2 linked regions of the Anolis sagrei genome follow. The protein of the gene in region 1 purifies or fractionates together with the protein of each later gene. This does not show direct contact. Links are inferred from orthologs where the notes say so. Each region holds a gene or a part of one and is shown on either strand. Other genes may lie near its edges.

The links. The genes of interacting proteins can lie anywhere in the genome.
Region 2: the proteins of CDK13 (region 1) and CCNK purify together in Homo sapiens (affinity purification with mass spectrometry; 4 studies listed by BioGRID and IntAct, counting the BioPlex papers as one, with this or other methods). This does not show direct contact. The link is inferred for Anolis sagrei from reciprocal best matches to the Homo sapiens genes CDK13 and CCNK.

Annotation. Positions count from the first base shown.
Region 1 is NC_090026.1:68,619,480-68,627,468, forward strand, and holds the start of CDK13 (cyclin-dependent kinase 13), read right to left. Parts: upstream 3,009-7,989; 5' UTR 2,574-3,008; coding exon 1,507-2,573; intron 1-1,506. UniProt on the Homo sapiens protein: Cyclin-dependent kinase which displays CTD kinase activity and is required for RNA splicing.
Region 2 is NC_090021.1:321,310,822-321,318,785, reverse strand, and holds the start of CCNK (cyclin-K), read right to left. Parts: upstream 3,021-7,964; 5' UTR 2,999-3,020; intron 2,604-2,998; exon of another isoform or gene 2,472-2,603; intron 1-2,471. Other genes in the region: SETD3 (actin-histidine N-methyltransferase), read left to right, coding at 3,543-3,571. UniProt on the Homo sapiens protein: Regulatory subunit of cyclin-dependent kinases that mediates activation of target kinases.

The sequences.
Region 1 (7,989 bases):
GGGATTTTCTGTATTGATATTTTGAGATATAGGGCTGTGAGGAAGGGTCCTGAGTGTGGCCTCAGACAACTCAGGGCCCTTCCAGACAGCCCTATATCCCCCAATATCAAAGCAGGAAATCCCACATTATCTGAGTATGAATGCAGATAACCCAGTTCAAAGCAGATATTGTGGGTTTTTCTGCCTTGATATATTCTGGGATATAGACTTGTGTGGAAGGGCCTTGTGTGGATATAGGCTTGTGTGGAGCGCGAGTAGGGCCTCTCCAGATGATCGGAGAGATCATGTGTGTTCGTACACAGAAATGCGGTCACGCAGGTAGGCAGGTCCCAAACCGTTCAGAGCTTTGTAGGTAAGAACCCAAGGCCCTTCCACACAAGTCTATATCCCAGAATATCAAGGCAGAAAATCCCACAATATCTGCTTTGAACTGGGTTATCTGAGTCCATACTAAGATAATGTGGGATTTCCTGCTTTGATATTGGGGGATATAGGGCTGTCTGGAAGGGCCCTGAGTTGTCTGAGGCCACACTCAGGACCCTTCCTCACAGCCCTATATCTCAAAATATCAATACAGAAAATCCCACAATATCTGCTTTGAATTGAATTATCTGAAGACCCTTCTGCACAGCACTATATTCCAGAATATCAAGGCAGAAAAAAATTGAATGTATTGTCGAAGGCTTTCATGGCCGGAATCACTGGGTAGTTGTAGGGTTTTTTGGACTATATGGCCATGTTCTAGAGCAGAGGTTCTCAACCTGGGGTCCCCAGATGTTTTTGGCCTTCAACTCCCAGAAATCCTAACAGCTGGTAAACTGGCTGAGATTTCTGGGAGTTATAGGCCAAAAACATCTGGGGACCCCAAGTTGAGAACCACTGCTCTAGAGGCACTCTCTCCTGACATTTCGCCAGAGGTAGTGCTACCTCTAAGGATGCTTGCCATAGGTGCAGGAGAAACGTCCGGAGAGAATGACTCTAGAACAGTGGTTCTCAACCTGGGGTCCCCAGATGTTTTTGGCCTACAACTCCCAGAAATCCCAGCCACTTTACCAGCTGTTAGGATTTCTGGGAGTTGAAGGCCAAAAACATCTGGGGACCCCAGGTTGAGAACCACTGTATTAAGGTTTACAACAGTGGTTCCCAACCTGTAAGTCCTCAGATGTTTTGGCCTTCAACTCCCAGAAATCCCAACAGATGGTAAACTGGTTGGGATTTCTAGGAGTTGTAGGTCAAAACACCTGGGAACACACAGGTTGAGACCTACTGGTGTAGAGCAACCATCAGCTTCTATGTCCTGATCAACTGCAGTGGTTCTCAACCTTGGGTCCCCAGATGTTTTTGGCCTACAACTCCCAGAAATCCCAGCCAGTTTACCAGCTGTTAGGATTTCTGGGAGTTGAAGGCCAAAGCATCTGGGGAGCCACAGGTTGAGAAACACTGCAATAAATAATCTGTGGTTTGCCCACCCAGCGACAAAAAGGGCCCCGCGGCGGCTCTGCTTACCGGATGGCGGGGCTGTAGGGGCTGCGGGAGCGTCGCCAGGAGCTGTAGTGCCCGGGAGAGCCATCCCCGCCGCCGCCTCCTCCCCCTCCCCCTCCGGAGCTGTGCCGGCTGTAGCTGGGGGAGCGGCGCCGGTAGGGGCTGACGGAGGCGCGCGGGCTGGCGGGCGACTTGCAGCGGCTGCGCTGTCGCTGCGAGGCCCGGTGGGGGCTGCCTTCTCGGCTGGGGCTGCGCCTGTAGGCCCGGGGCTCGGCCTTGTCCTCCCGGTAGGCCTTGGGCGGCTCCTTGTAGGCTTTGGACCGGCGGGCCTTGCCTTCCCGCTCCTTCCTGCTGCTGCTGCTGTTGCCGCTGGGTGAGGCAGCCGAGCTCTTCCTGCGGCCGTCGCTGCCGCCGCCGCCCCCGCTCCGGGGCGCGTCTCCGTGGTTGTGGCGGCTGCGGGGCTTGGAGGAGGAGGAGGAAGAGGAAGGCGCGGGCGGCTCGCTGGCCCCTTCTCCTCCTCCTCCTCCCCCCCTGTCCCTGTCCTTGTCCTCCCCCCGGCGGCGGTGCTCCCTCTGCCGCTCCCGAGAGCGCCTGGCCCCACTCCTGCTGGGGGTCTCCCTGCGGCGGGCGCCCCGCTCCCCCCCTGTCCCTGCCGTCCCCCCTCCGCCCTCGGATTGGGAGCTGACGTCGTCGTACTCCTCCTTGGGCCCGGCCTCGAGCAGCGTTCCCAGCCCGGCCCCGCCCCGCAGCCCGCTCCCCGTCCCGGTGCCGCCTAGCCTGCCCCGCCGCCGCTTGTGCCGGGATCCCGAGCGCCGCTTCCCCCGCGGGCGCTTCCGCTCGCCGCCTTCCCCGGCGCCGCAGCCGGTGGCCGCCAGGAAGAGCAGGGACTGCGGCGGCAGCGGCGGCTGCAGGAGCGAGGAGGGCTGCAGCAGCGGAAACAGCAGCGAGGAAGGAGGCGCCGGAGCCGGAGGAGGAGGCAGGGGCAGCGGCAGCGGCGACGGAGGCCGCAGAGGGCCCGACGGGTAGCGCTTCCGCCGCCGGTGGTGCGCCCGCTTCTTCGCCTCCGGCGGCGACTCCGACGTGCTCGGCATCGGGGCGGAACGGGGCTCCGTCAAGGCGCCCACCAAGAAGAATTAGAAGAGGAGGAGGAGGCAGCCATCTTCCTCTTCCTCGTCAGGCGAGTCTTCCTCTTCCGCCGCCGGCCTTGGCTTCCTGTCCCGGCTGGGCCCGAGTGCGGCCTGTCTTCCTGAAGAGAACCTCTCCGCCTCTCCTCAGCGCACAACACTTCGCCGCCTCTCCTTCCTTCCTGTCCGCGCGGGAGACGCCAAGTGCCCGCCCTGAGGCCCTTCTCCGTCGCTCCCTCGCCACACAGAAGACCCCGAAAGCGAGACCTAACCGCGACTGCGCCTGCGCGGAAGCAAAGACGGCACCGGCCGCTCTCGAAGCTGGAGGGTTCTGATTGCGCCTTCCTCACAGCGTCGGCCACCAAACCTCGCGAGACTTGGCCTGCGCCGCCCTCCTGCCGGAAGCTCCGCAAACAGGCGCTTCCGAGGAGACGTTGAAGGCTCAAGCTCGTCCAGTTAAGGTCGCCGTGGTTCCGCCCTCAGACTTCCGGTTCCTCCACGCGCGGGGCGGCAGCAAAACATTTCACAGGCTCAGAGAATGTTGTCAAAGGCTTTCATGGCTGGAATCACTGGGTTTTGGAGGTGTTTCGGGCTATGTGGCCATGTTCTCAACCTGTGGGTCTTCAGGTGTTTTGGCCTACAACTCCCAGAAATCCCAGCCAATTTATCACCTGTTAGGACAGTGTTTCTCAACCTGGGGGTCGGGAACCCGGGGGGGGGGGCGCAAGGAGGAGTCAGAGGGGTCGCCAAAGACCATCTGAAAACGCAGTATTTGCTTTTGGTCATGAGGGTTCTGTGTGGGAAGTCTGGCCCAATTGTATCGTTGGTGGGGTACAGAATGCTCTTTGATTGTAGGTGAACTATAAATCCCAGCAACTACAACTCCCAAATGCCAAGGCCTATTTTCTCCAAACTCCACCAGTGTTCACATTTCGGCATATTGAGCATTTCTGCCAAGTTTGGTCCAGATCTACCATTGGTTGAGGCCACAGTGCTCTCTGGGTGTAGGCAAACTACAACTATAAAACTCAACGTCAATGCCCACCAATCCAGTATTTTCTGTTGGCAATGGGAGTTCTGTGTGCCAAGTTTGGTTCAATTCCATCTTTGGTGGAATTCCAAATGCTCTTTAATTGAATGTTAACTATAAATCCCAGCGACTACAACTCCCAAATGACAAATTCAACCCCCCCCCCCCCCAAACCCCACCAGTACTCCAATTTGGGTGTATTGGGTATTTGTGCCAAATTTGGTCCAGTGAATGAAAATACATCCTGCATATCAGATATTTACATTACAATTCACAAGAATAATGTTATGGTTGGGGGTCACCACAACATAGGGAACAGTATTAAGGGGTCGCAGCATTAGGAAGGTTGAGAAACACTGTGTTAGGATTTCTGGGAGTTGAAGGCCAAAACATCTGGGGACCCACAGGTTAAGAACCACTGTTCTAGAAGCATTCTCTCCTGATGTTTTGCCTGCATCTATGGCAAGCATCCTCAGTTTGTGAGGTCTACTTACACTTCACAACCTCTGAGGAGACCTCACAACCTCTGAGGATGCTTGCCTGTTTGCTGTATCATAATGTTGTTTTAAGGAAAGCACCTCGCCGTGAAGACCTTTCTGTAAAACATGCTTTTCTTTCAGTGTTGAAAAAACGTCATTAAACACTCCTCTGCCATAGGTACTGTGCCATTATCCTGGTGGAAGCCAAAAGGAGGCGCTAGACAGAGGAGGATCATCCATTTTAAGGTGGGGGGGGGGGAGTTGAAGGAGGAAAACCATTTCCCTGTTTGTGCTACTTATTCCCCCTCCCCACTTCCCATTTAATAAACAAGAGTTGTTTCCATGAGAGTGACACAAGGTGAGAGGAACAACTGGAAAACGGGGAAATTATTTTCCTCCATCATAGAATCAAAGAGTTGGAAGAGACCTCATGGGCCATCCAGTCCAACCCCCTGCCAAGAAGCAGGAATATTGCATTCAAATCACCCCTGACAGATGGCCATCCAGCCTCTGTTTAAAAGCTTCCACAGAAGGAGCCTCCACCACGCTTCGGGGCAGAGAGTTCCACTGCTGAACAGCTCTCACAGTCAGGAAGTTCTTCCTCATGTTCAGATGAAAGCTCCTTTCTTGTAGTTTGAAGCCATTGTTCCACGTCCTAGTCTTTAGGGAAGCAGAAAACAAGCTTGCTCCCTCCTCCCTGTGGCTTCCTCTCACATATTTATACATGGCTATCATATCTCCTCTCAGCCTTGTCTTCTTCAGGCTAAACATGCCCAGCTCCTTAAGCCGCTCCTCATAGGGCTTGTTCTCCAGACCCTTGATCATTTTAGTCGCCCTCCTCTGGACACATTCCAGCTTGTCAATATCTCTCTTGAATTGTGGTGCCCAGAATTGGACACAATATTCCAGGTGTGGTCTAACCAAAGTGGAATAGAGGGCTAGCATTACTTCCCTAGATCTAGACACTATGCTTCTATTGATGCAGGCCAAAATCCCATTTTCGTTCTTTTTTTGCAGCCACATCACATTGTTGGCTCATGTTTAACTTGTTATTTTAAGGAAAGCACCTCGCTCTGAAGACCTTTCTGTAAAACATGCTTTTCTTTCAGTGTTGAGAACACGTCATTAAACACTCCTCGGCAATAGGTACTGTGCCATTATCCTGGTGGAGGCCAAAAGGAGGCGCTAGACAGAGGAGGATCATCCATTTTAAGGTGGGGGGGGGGAGTTGAAGGAGGAAAACCATTTCCCTGTTTGTGCTACTTATTCCCCCTCCCCACTTCCCATTTAATAAACGAGGTTGTTTCCATGAGGGTGACACAGGTGAGAGGAACAACTGGAAAACGGGGAAAATTATTTTCCTCCATCAAACCCCGCCCCCGCTGAAAATGGATTTTTCTTCTCTGTCTAGTACCCCCTTTTGGCCTCCACCCGAATACTGGAACAGTACAGAGAAGTCTTCTCTCACTTTCTGAACAGCTGCATATCACTTTTAGCTTTTTTCTCTTCTGCTGCAGGATCCTCTTTCCCTGGAAAGTTAATGGGCAAATGAACCAAGGCCTCTCTTGACTTAAAACACTGGGAAGGTTTATACGTTCCTTCATAACAATAATTCTTCCAAATGCTGGACTATCAACATTTTTTTATTATTATTTTACTGACACAAAAGCACAGTATGTCACAGCAAACGAGATCTATATGCTGGATTTCGTATCACAAAATCACAAGTCAAACATTTCCCAAGCATCTAGGACTGTGTGATGTATTTTCGAATGATGCGCGCAGATCCAAGTAAGGTGGCCTTTTGTAGTTGACAGGTCGTGATTTTGTCAATGTTTATTGTTTCCAAATGCCGGCTGAGGATTTTTAGCACGGCAGCCAGTGTGCCAATGACTACTGGGACCACCTGTCCTGGTTTATGCCAGAGCTTTAGCAATTCAATTTTGAGGTCCTGATAACGGCTGAGTTTTTCCTGTAGTATTATTATTACTATTATTATTAATGGTATTTAAACAGTTGCTGAAAAAGCCCTTCCTAGATCCCAGGGACTTTAACAACTACAGACCAGTGTCTAACTTTCCTTTTTTGCGCAAGGTGATTGAGAAGGCTGTTGCCCTCCAATTCCAGGCAGTCTTGGACGATGCACACTTTCTTGACCTATTTCAAACTGGCTTCAGAGCAGCATACGGAGTTTAGACTGCTATGGTCACCTTCGTGGATGATACCTGTCTTAACACTGACAAGGGGTTTATGTCCTTGTTGGTGCTTCTAGACCTCTCAGCAGCCTTTGATACCATTGACCATAGTATCCTTCTGGAACATCTGGAGGCATCTCCCAGATGCCAGGCAGGTTCCAAATGGTGGTGCTTGGAGATAGCAACTTCTCAAAAAAGGAGCTGTCATGTGGTGTCCCACAAGGTGGTATTCTACCCCATTGCTCTTTAATATTTACATGAAGCCCATTGGGAGAGATCATCCATAGGCATGGGACAGGGTGTTATCAGTATGATGATGACACCCAAATATATTTCTCCATGTCTTCAAAAACAGCCTCAGCTAAAGATACTGTGTCTCCTCTGAATGAATTCCTGGAGGAGGTAATGGGTTGGATGAAGAAAAGCAAATTGAAACTGAATCCAGAAAAAAAGAGGTGCTTGCCATTAAAGGTCCCAATCTCTGGAAGGAGATGTGTCAACCAGTTCGATGGTGTTAGACTCGCCCCAAAAGACTGTGTTTGCAACTTGGGGACTGCCAATTAATTTCCAGGCAAAGTACAAGATGTTGGGTTTGACCTTTAAAACCATGCATGGTTTGAGTCCAGGTTGCCTAAAGATCACCTTCTCCCGTACAATCCGCCCCACACACTGACAGTCCTCTAAGGGGCATATGCTCCAACCAGCCAGAACCTGATTGGCAACTGTCACCCAGATGACTTTTTCATCAGCCGCCCCCAAGACTGTGGAACAACCTGCCAGTAGAGTTCTGACAGCTGTCAGAATTTAAAAACCATGGAAAGACCTATCTCTTCTGGCAGGCCAGCCAGTCTTTAAGCATGAATTTTAAACTCATGTAGTGTGTTTTGGTCTCTGTCCTATGTTATTAATGTGTATTTTACAGAAATACTTTGATCTGTATATTTTATGGAACTAAATTTTAATGTGTGTTTGTAGAATTCTTATAGTATTTGACTGTGCTATGACCCGCCTCGAGCCATGGGAAGAGGTGGGTAAGAAATATTGTTTCTAGAACATGGCCATATAGCCCAAAAAACCTACAACAACCCAGTGATTCCAGCCATGAAAGCCTTCAACAACACAATATTATTATTATTATTATTTCTCCCCAAAGGGATTCAAGGCAGCTAACAAATGAACACATGCAATACATATTTAAAATAAATACCAAAATTAAAAACAAATCTACATTTGTGGGTGGATATAAAATTAAAAATGCAGTTCAAATACAAGAAATACAATTAAAATTACATATAAAATTCACCATATCACCCCCCCCCCCCCAAAGTCTGATGGCAAAGTAATGGCTTAACTTGCAAGCGGGGATGGGGCCATCCTTGGTCTCTCTTGGGAGGGAGTCCCAAAGTCTGGGAGCAGCCACCAAAAAGACCCTTTCCATTGTTCCCACCAAACGTACTTGTGCAAGTGGTGGGACAGAGAGAAGGCCCTCCCCAGAGGATCGTAGGTATCTGATATGTTCATAGAGAGAGATATGATCCTTCAAATAACCTGGACCTAAGCTGTAAACGCCGAAATACTGCCTTTTAATCAAGTAAAACATGTAATATGTTAAAGAGAGCACATACATTTTCTACATATACAAGGGTGCCAAAACGGTATATCAATTCTAAGAGATGTTA
Region 2 (7,964 bases), on another chromosome or scaffold:
AAAACCTTAGGTATGCACCTATATTATAAAAAAATAAAAATAAAAATTGGGTTTTAATAAGTTTTGAAAAAAGGAAGTTATGCTGCCTCACCCTGTATTATCACGGGGAAAAGGTGTCTCAACTGAAGCTTTATCACCAATCCTTGTTTCCTCAACAAGCCACATTTTCCTAAACCCAATTCTCAAAGGGACACAAAGTGAGGTGAAATAATAATAATAATAATAATAATAATAATCTTTATTTATACCCTGCCACCATCTCCCCAGTGGGGACTCGGGGTGGCTTACATGAGGCCACGCCCAAAACAATAAATTACAACAGAGTAAAACCGAAAACGCAAACCGAAAACAATAAACAACATCAGAATTACATAAAATATATGAATACATAACAATATAAAATTACAATAAGCACAATCACAGTGACAATGTAATAATGTAATAATTAAAAGAAAAACTAATTTAAAACTCAGGTGAGATAAAGGAGAAGCAGGTTATTTGTGGAGGAGGCCTCATTAGAGTGGGTTTTGTGGAATCAAGCTTTCCATAAAGGGACGGACGGACGTATACTCCAATGACAGAACGTTGAGGCTAAGCAATAGCGTGAGGTTATAATAATAATATAATAAAACTTTATTTATACCCCGCTACCATCACCCCAAGGGACTCGGTGCGGCTTACATGAGGCTGAGCCCACAGCACATCAATAAAAAAGCAAGAACAAACAAGCAATACAAAATAGTTAAAATAAATGTCATAAACAAAAAAGCAATGAACATTAACAGTAATACATTTATTTATTTATTTAGAAATTTTATATACCAGTCTTCTCACCTCCAGCGAGGGACTCAGGCCGGTTTACAACAAAGGAATTCATACACAATAGTTTAAAAACATCACATCCAATAATACACTAATATAAACACATATCATATAATTATATAAGGCCAAATCGTTAACATAAAATCACTATTCATCCCCATCCGTCCGTGTGGTCAAGAGTTATTGCCTCACTCATCAAATGCCAAATTCCAGAGCCAGGTTTTCACCCACTTTCTAAAGGTCAGGAGGGTGGTGGCGGCCCCCGACTCTGGAACACCCTCTCCAAAGATCTTAGACAGGCCCCTACATTGGCAGTCTTTAGAAAGAACTTGAAGACCTGGCTGTTCTGATGTGCCTTTCCAGAATAGGAACCTCCAATAACAAGTCCCAGAAGCACTTTATTAGAACTAAGATTGCTGCACACCTCACACTGCACTTACCCTAGAATCCTTACATATCACCTGTCACATCAGCACTTTTAATCCTGTACCCATTACTCTGGCCCGGCACAGTTTTATAGTGTCTCGATGTATTGTTTATTGCTTGTTGTTTAATATTGCTTTAATTGTTTTTAATTTGCTTTAGGTGTTGTATTGTTATGTTGTGTTTTGAGGCCTTGGCCTTTGTGAGCCGCATCGAGTCCTTCGGGAGATGCTAGAGGGGTACAAATAAAGTTAATAATAATAATAATAATAATAGTATGAAGAAATTGAAGAATGGGTAAAAATATAAGAAATAGATCGTTCAAGAGAATTGAGGAACAAGAACATATGACATATAGATAATGGAGAATATAACGATCTATTTTTTCTCCTCTTTTTGTCTTTGTAAATACGAATAAATATCTACATATTGTTAAAGATGAAATAGTAGACTGATAAGGCATGATAGGAAGAAGGAGAAAATTAAAAGTTATGTAAATATAGAAGAACGGATATTGTCACTGAAATACCGTAGAAGAGAGAAGTGGAGGTCTGCTGCCGTAGCGGGCACCCTCATTTTAATATACTTGTAGTTAGTATGTTGTGTTAGTTTGTCGATGTTAGTTAGTTAGGTCTTTGGATGTGTCTATGTATGTCTATAGCTATGTTTTGCTTTGTTCTGTCTGTCTTTTTTATCATTGTAATAATAAAATTTAATAAATAATAATAATAATGGGCAGTTCTAATCACCAATGGGAGAAAGTTCCAGAGCCGAGGTGCCACCACCGAGAAGGCCCTGTCCCTCGTCCCCACCAGACGGTGAGTATCACAAGAACGTTTAAAACCTATGTAATTGTAATAATTACAATTTAAAAATAATAATGCTGGGTATGAAACAGGTAAGATATAAATGGGATAAAGTTTCAGAGAGGGATGAGGCGTTCTACCTACTCACCAAAGGCGCAGCGGAAGAATCAGGTTTTAAGGTTCTTTTTAAAGGTTTCTAGGGTAGGTAGGGGCTTTCCTAGTTTCTCCAGGTAGTTAAATCTTCTGAACAGGGGTCCAGACAGCAAAACAAACACCACTGTGGTAGGAGCTATGCTATCCAATGAATGTATATACCAGGCATGGGCAAACTTGGGCCCTCCAGGTGTTTTGGACTTCAACTCCCACAATTCCTAACAGCCTCATTGTTTCTCCCTCACAGGTGTTCGTTCAGTCACCCACTCGCTCAGAAGCTGGAGAGACTCACCGAACTCGCGCGAGCAATGAAGCCTCAACCACGCCAGCGCGGAGCCATCTTGGAAGACTCTGAGCAAAGCCTTTGCTGACGTCATTCCGTCGGCTCGCGAGAGGCTGCGTATTGCCTCACTATTCTCCCTGTGGACGCTTTACCCCGCCTCCTCTTTCATGCGCATGCGTCAAAAGGGCTGCTTGTCTCCGCGATGTCAATAACGCTTGCAAGCCAATCAGCGCCGCGAGGAGAGAAAAAAACAAAGTAGGCGGATCAATATGACTCCCCACCAATGAGAATGCGATTCTCGTCCCTCCCTCCTTCTCTAAGACTTTTATTGGTTCTTCCCTTTTTCTCACACGCCTTGCGCATGGACCGGATTGGTCAGTAAGTCCTGAGTGCTGTTACTGGGAACCAATCGCAACCGAGATAGAAGCCAACTTGGAAGCAGGCTTACAGGAGGAGGACTGGGAGGGCGAGTATTTCCACACATGCGCACAGTGGCGTTAACTTGTCTTACCTTCTTTCCACATGTCCCGCCCCTGTATGCGATTGGAGGAAAAAGAACAGGCATTGGGACCGGATTGGACAATTAACCAGAGTGATAAAAGTGGGAACCAATAGAAGCCATAGACAGACCCTGTAAGACCGACGGAGTGAGAGAGGGAAGGCATGCGCGTGTATGTACGCATGCGCACGGTGGCACTGTGGATAGCGCACGCTCTTCCGCTCCACCCAAACGCCCCGCCTCTCCTTGCGATAGGAGGAAAAATGAGCTCGGATTGGCCATCCGTCCCGAGTGCCATCAATGTGAACCAATCGCAGCTTCAAGAGGGAGTGAGGGAAGGCGTGCGCGTGAATAGACGCATGCGCACGGTGGCTCTGTGATTGCTGCTCGCTCAACAGCTTCCCACCTCCGGAACGATGGGAGGGAGGGGGAAAGAAATTAAGCACTGAGATCGGATTGGCCAGCGTTTCGAGTGGCAGAAGAGGGAACCAATCCCAGCGACGAAGGGAGCCTGGGCGTTCGCGCTTGGGAGACGGGCCTAGAGGAGGGCCAGAGCATGCGCGGGTGCCCAGTAGGGACGACAGAGTGAGAGAGTGAGGGAGGGTGGGACGGCGTGCTTGTACGCATGCGCGTGGTGGGGCTGTGGTTGGCTCCGCGGCCGCCCGCGCCGCCGCCTCTCCCCTTCGCCGCCCGGTGAGAGGATTCGAGGGGTCGTCGCCCGAAAGAGAAGGTAACGGCGGGAAGGCCCCCCTTGTCTCCCCTTGCCTCGCTCCGCACGCTCCTGGATGTCACCTCAGGAAGTGGCAACAGGGCCTCGGCCTCTACCTCACGGAAACACGCGTTTTGTGAGGGCCTCAGGAACCCCATCATTCATTCCCGCCCTCTCCGTTCACACGAGACTTCTTTGACACGCGACTCCGTGTTCATTTGGAATCACAGCCTCTTCCCTGAACTCTCATCACTCAAGGCCTGCCTCCCGCCCCCTTTTCCCTCCAATTTACAAGCCTTGCAAAAGTCAGGCTCAAAAGATATATTATAGAAATTTACCCTTTGTATCACAACGTGGCTTGACATGTGTAAGATAATGATTTCATGAAAGAATGATTCATTTGTTGACTTAAACTCTCATCTTTCTCCTATAATACAGGGACTTGGGTTATTGTAGGTTTTTTCGGGCAATATGGCCATGTTCTAGAGCAGTGGTTCTCAACCTGGGGTCCCCAGATGTTTTTGGCCTACAACTCCCAGAAATCCCAGCCAGTTTACCAGCTAGGTTCTTGTGGGTTTTTTCGGGCTATAGAGCCATGTTCTAGAGGCATTTCTCCTGACGTTTCGCCTGCATCTATGGCAAGCATCCTCAGAGATAGTGAGGTCCCCAGATGTTTTTGGCCTTCAACTCCCAGAAACCCTAACAGACCTCACTACCTCTGAGGGTGCTTGCCATAGATGCAGGCGAAACGTCAGTTGAAATGCCTCTAGAACATGGCTCTATACCCCGAAAAAACCCACAAGAACCTAGTGATTCCCCACATGTTTTTGGCCTTCAACTCCCAGAAACCCTAACAGACCTCACTACCTCTGAGGATGCTTGCCAAGGATGCAGGCGAAACGTCAGGAGAAATGCCTCTAGAACATGGCTCTATAGCCCGAAAAAACCCACAAGAACCTAGTGATTCCAGCCATGAAAGCCTTCGACAGTACAGTTTACCAGCTGTTAGGGTTTCTGGGAGTTGAAGGCCAAAAACATCTAGGGACCCCAGGTTGAGAACCAGTGTTCTAGAGGCATTTTCTCCTGATGTTTTGCCTGAATCTATGGCAATGTATGTCAGGAGAGAATGCCTCTAGAACAGTGTTTCTCAACCTTCCTAATGCCGCAACCCCTTAATCCAGTTCCTCATGTTGTGGTGACCCCCAACCATAACATTATTTTACTACTTCATAACTGTAATTTTGCTCCTGTTATGAATGGTACTGCAATTATCTGATAAGCAGGACGTATCTTCACTGGATCAAATTTGGCACAAATACCTGATATGCCCAAATTTGAATAGTAGTGGGATTGGGAGGAGGGGGGATTGATTGATTTTGTTATTTGGGAGTTCGAGTTGTTGGGATTTATAATTCACCTACAGTCTGAACTCCACCAATGATGAAATTGAACCAAACCTGGAACACAAAACTCCCATGGCCAACAGAAAACACTGGAAGGGTTTGGTGGGCATTGACCTTGACTTTGGGAGTTGTAGTTCACCTATATCCAGAGAGCACTGTGGACTCAAACAAGAATGGATCAGGACTAAACTTGTTGTGAAAAGTCAATATGCCCTAATGTGAACACTGGTGGAGTTTGAAGAAAATAGACTTGACATTTGGGAGTTGTAGTTGCTGGGATTTATAGTTCACCTACAATCAAAGAGCATTCTGAACCCCACCAACAATCAAATTGGGCCAAACTTCCTACACAGAACCCCCATGATAAACATAAAATACTGTGTTTTCTGATGGTCTTTGACGACCCCTCTCACATCCCCCGGCGACCCCCTCAGGGATCCCGACCCCCAGGTTGAGAACTACTGCTCTAGAACATGGCCATGTAGCCCGAAAAAACCTACAACAACCCACTGATTCCGGCCATGAAAGCCTTTGACAATACATGAATACAGGGACTTATTAAGTCATGAAGTTTGCGAAAGACCTGTCCGTTACGCGACATTTTGTGTTACACTTTTCTAAAGCTGGGTCTACACTGCCATATAATGGAGTTTGGACTGGTCATGTGTCAGATTCATGGCCCGTGGGCCGGATCCAGCCCACCAATGTCATTTTGTGTGGCCCTCCAAATGCTGGGCTACAATTCCTGTATTCCTCATCATTAGATACAAATTAGCTGTTTATATGAGCACATACATACATACACATACGCATACCTCAGTGGTTCTCAACCTGTGAGTCCCCAGTTCTGGCCTACAACTCCCAGAAACCTCAGCCAGTTTGCCAGCTGTTAGGATTTCAGAGAATCATAGAATCAAAGAGTTGGAAGAGACCTCATGGGCCATCCAGTCCAACCCCCTGCCAAGAAGCAGGAATATTGCATTCAAATCACCCCTGACAGATGGCCATCCAGCCTCTGTTTAAAAGCCTCCAAAGAAGGAGCCTCCACCACACTCCGGGGCAGAGAGTTCCACTGCTGAACGGCTCTCACAGTCATATAATCATACAATCAAAGAGTTGGAAGAGACCTCATGGGCCATCCAGTCCAGCCCCCTGCCAAGAAGCAGGAATATTGCATTCAAATCACCCCTGACAGATGGCCATCCAGCCTCTGTTTAAAAGCTTCCAAAGAAGGAGCCTCCACCACACTCCGGGGCAGAGAGTTCCACTGCTGAACGGCTCTCACAGTCAGGAAGTTCTTCCTCATGTTTAGGTGGAATCTCCTCTCTTGTAGTTTGAAGCCATTGTTCCATTGCATCCTAGTCTCCAAGGAAGCAGAAAACAAGCTTGCTCCCTCCTCCCTGTGGCTTCCTCCCACATATTTATACATGGCTATCATATCCCCTCTCAGCCTTCTCTTCTTCAGGCTAAACATGCCCAGCTCCTTAAGCCGCTCCTCATAGGGCTTGTTCTCCAGACCCTTGATCATTTGAGTCGCCCTCCCCTGGACACATTCCAGCTTGTCAATATCTCTCTTGAATTGTGGTGCCCAGAATTGGACAATATATTCCAGGTGTGGTCTAACCAAAGCGGAATAGAGGGGTAGCATGACTTCCCTAGATCTAGATACTATGCTCCTATTGATGCAGGCCAAAATCCCATTGGCTTTTTTTTGCCGCGACATCACATTGTTGGCTCATGTTTAACTTGTTGTTCACGAGGACTCCAAGATCTTTTTCACATGTACTGCTCTCAAGCCAGGCGTCCCCCATTCTGTATCTTTGCATTTCTTTTTTCCTGCCAAAGTGGCGTATCTTGCATTTGTCATTCTGGGAGTTGAAGGCCAAAACAGCTGGGGACCTACAGGTTCAGAATAATAATAATAAAAAAACTTTATTTATATTCCGTTCTACATCCCCAAAGGGACTCAGGGTGGATTCCAAACATAAAAGTCAAACCTTCAATACCTGAATACGACAATACATCCATATTAACAAAATTTATACAACCCAACATATAAATACAAATTATAACTTAACAAACTAAAATTAAATAAAATGCACAGCCTGTTACAGCAGACATAGGACAAAACATCAAATGGAAACAATAATTTCCCATTTCTTTGGGACAAATCGATTATTCATTGCTCAAGATATTTATTGAGCTAGTGGGGTGAGCAGGGCACAGATATGGATGGCAACTATTTATCAGAGGTATAATGGTAGTATTACCAACTACTATTCCTCCTCCTTGTAAGCCAGTGAGCAAAGGTATGTCTTCGGCTGTTTTTTTGGAGCCCCTTGTGGTGCAGTCGGTTAAACCCCTGTGTCGGCAGGACTGAAGACCGACAGGTCGCAGGTTCGAATCTGGGGAGAGGCGGATGAGCTCCCTCTATCAACTCCAGCTCCTCATGCGGGGACATGAGAAAAGCCTCCCACAAGGATGATAAAAACATCAAATCATCCGGGCGTCCCCTGGGTAACGTCCTTGCAGACGGCCAATTCTCTCACACCAGAAGCGACTTGCAATTTCTCAAGTCGCTCCTGACACGACAAAAAAAAGCTGTTTTTTGAAAGCAGGGAGGGAGAACCACTGAATAAATCCATTTTCTTCTGTAACGGTAGACACAGAACATCTGCAGTGTTGCAAAACCTTCCTCATTGGCTATGAATTCTTAATGGTGCCCCCAGTGGTGCAATGGGTCAAACTCTTGTGCCGTCCGGACTACTGACCAAAAGGTCAGCGGTTCGAATCTGGGGAGCAGGATGAGCTCCTGTCTGTCAACTCCATCTTCTCATGTGGGGACATGAGAGAGGTCTCTCACAGG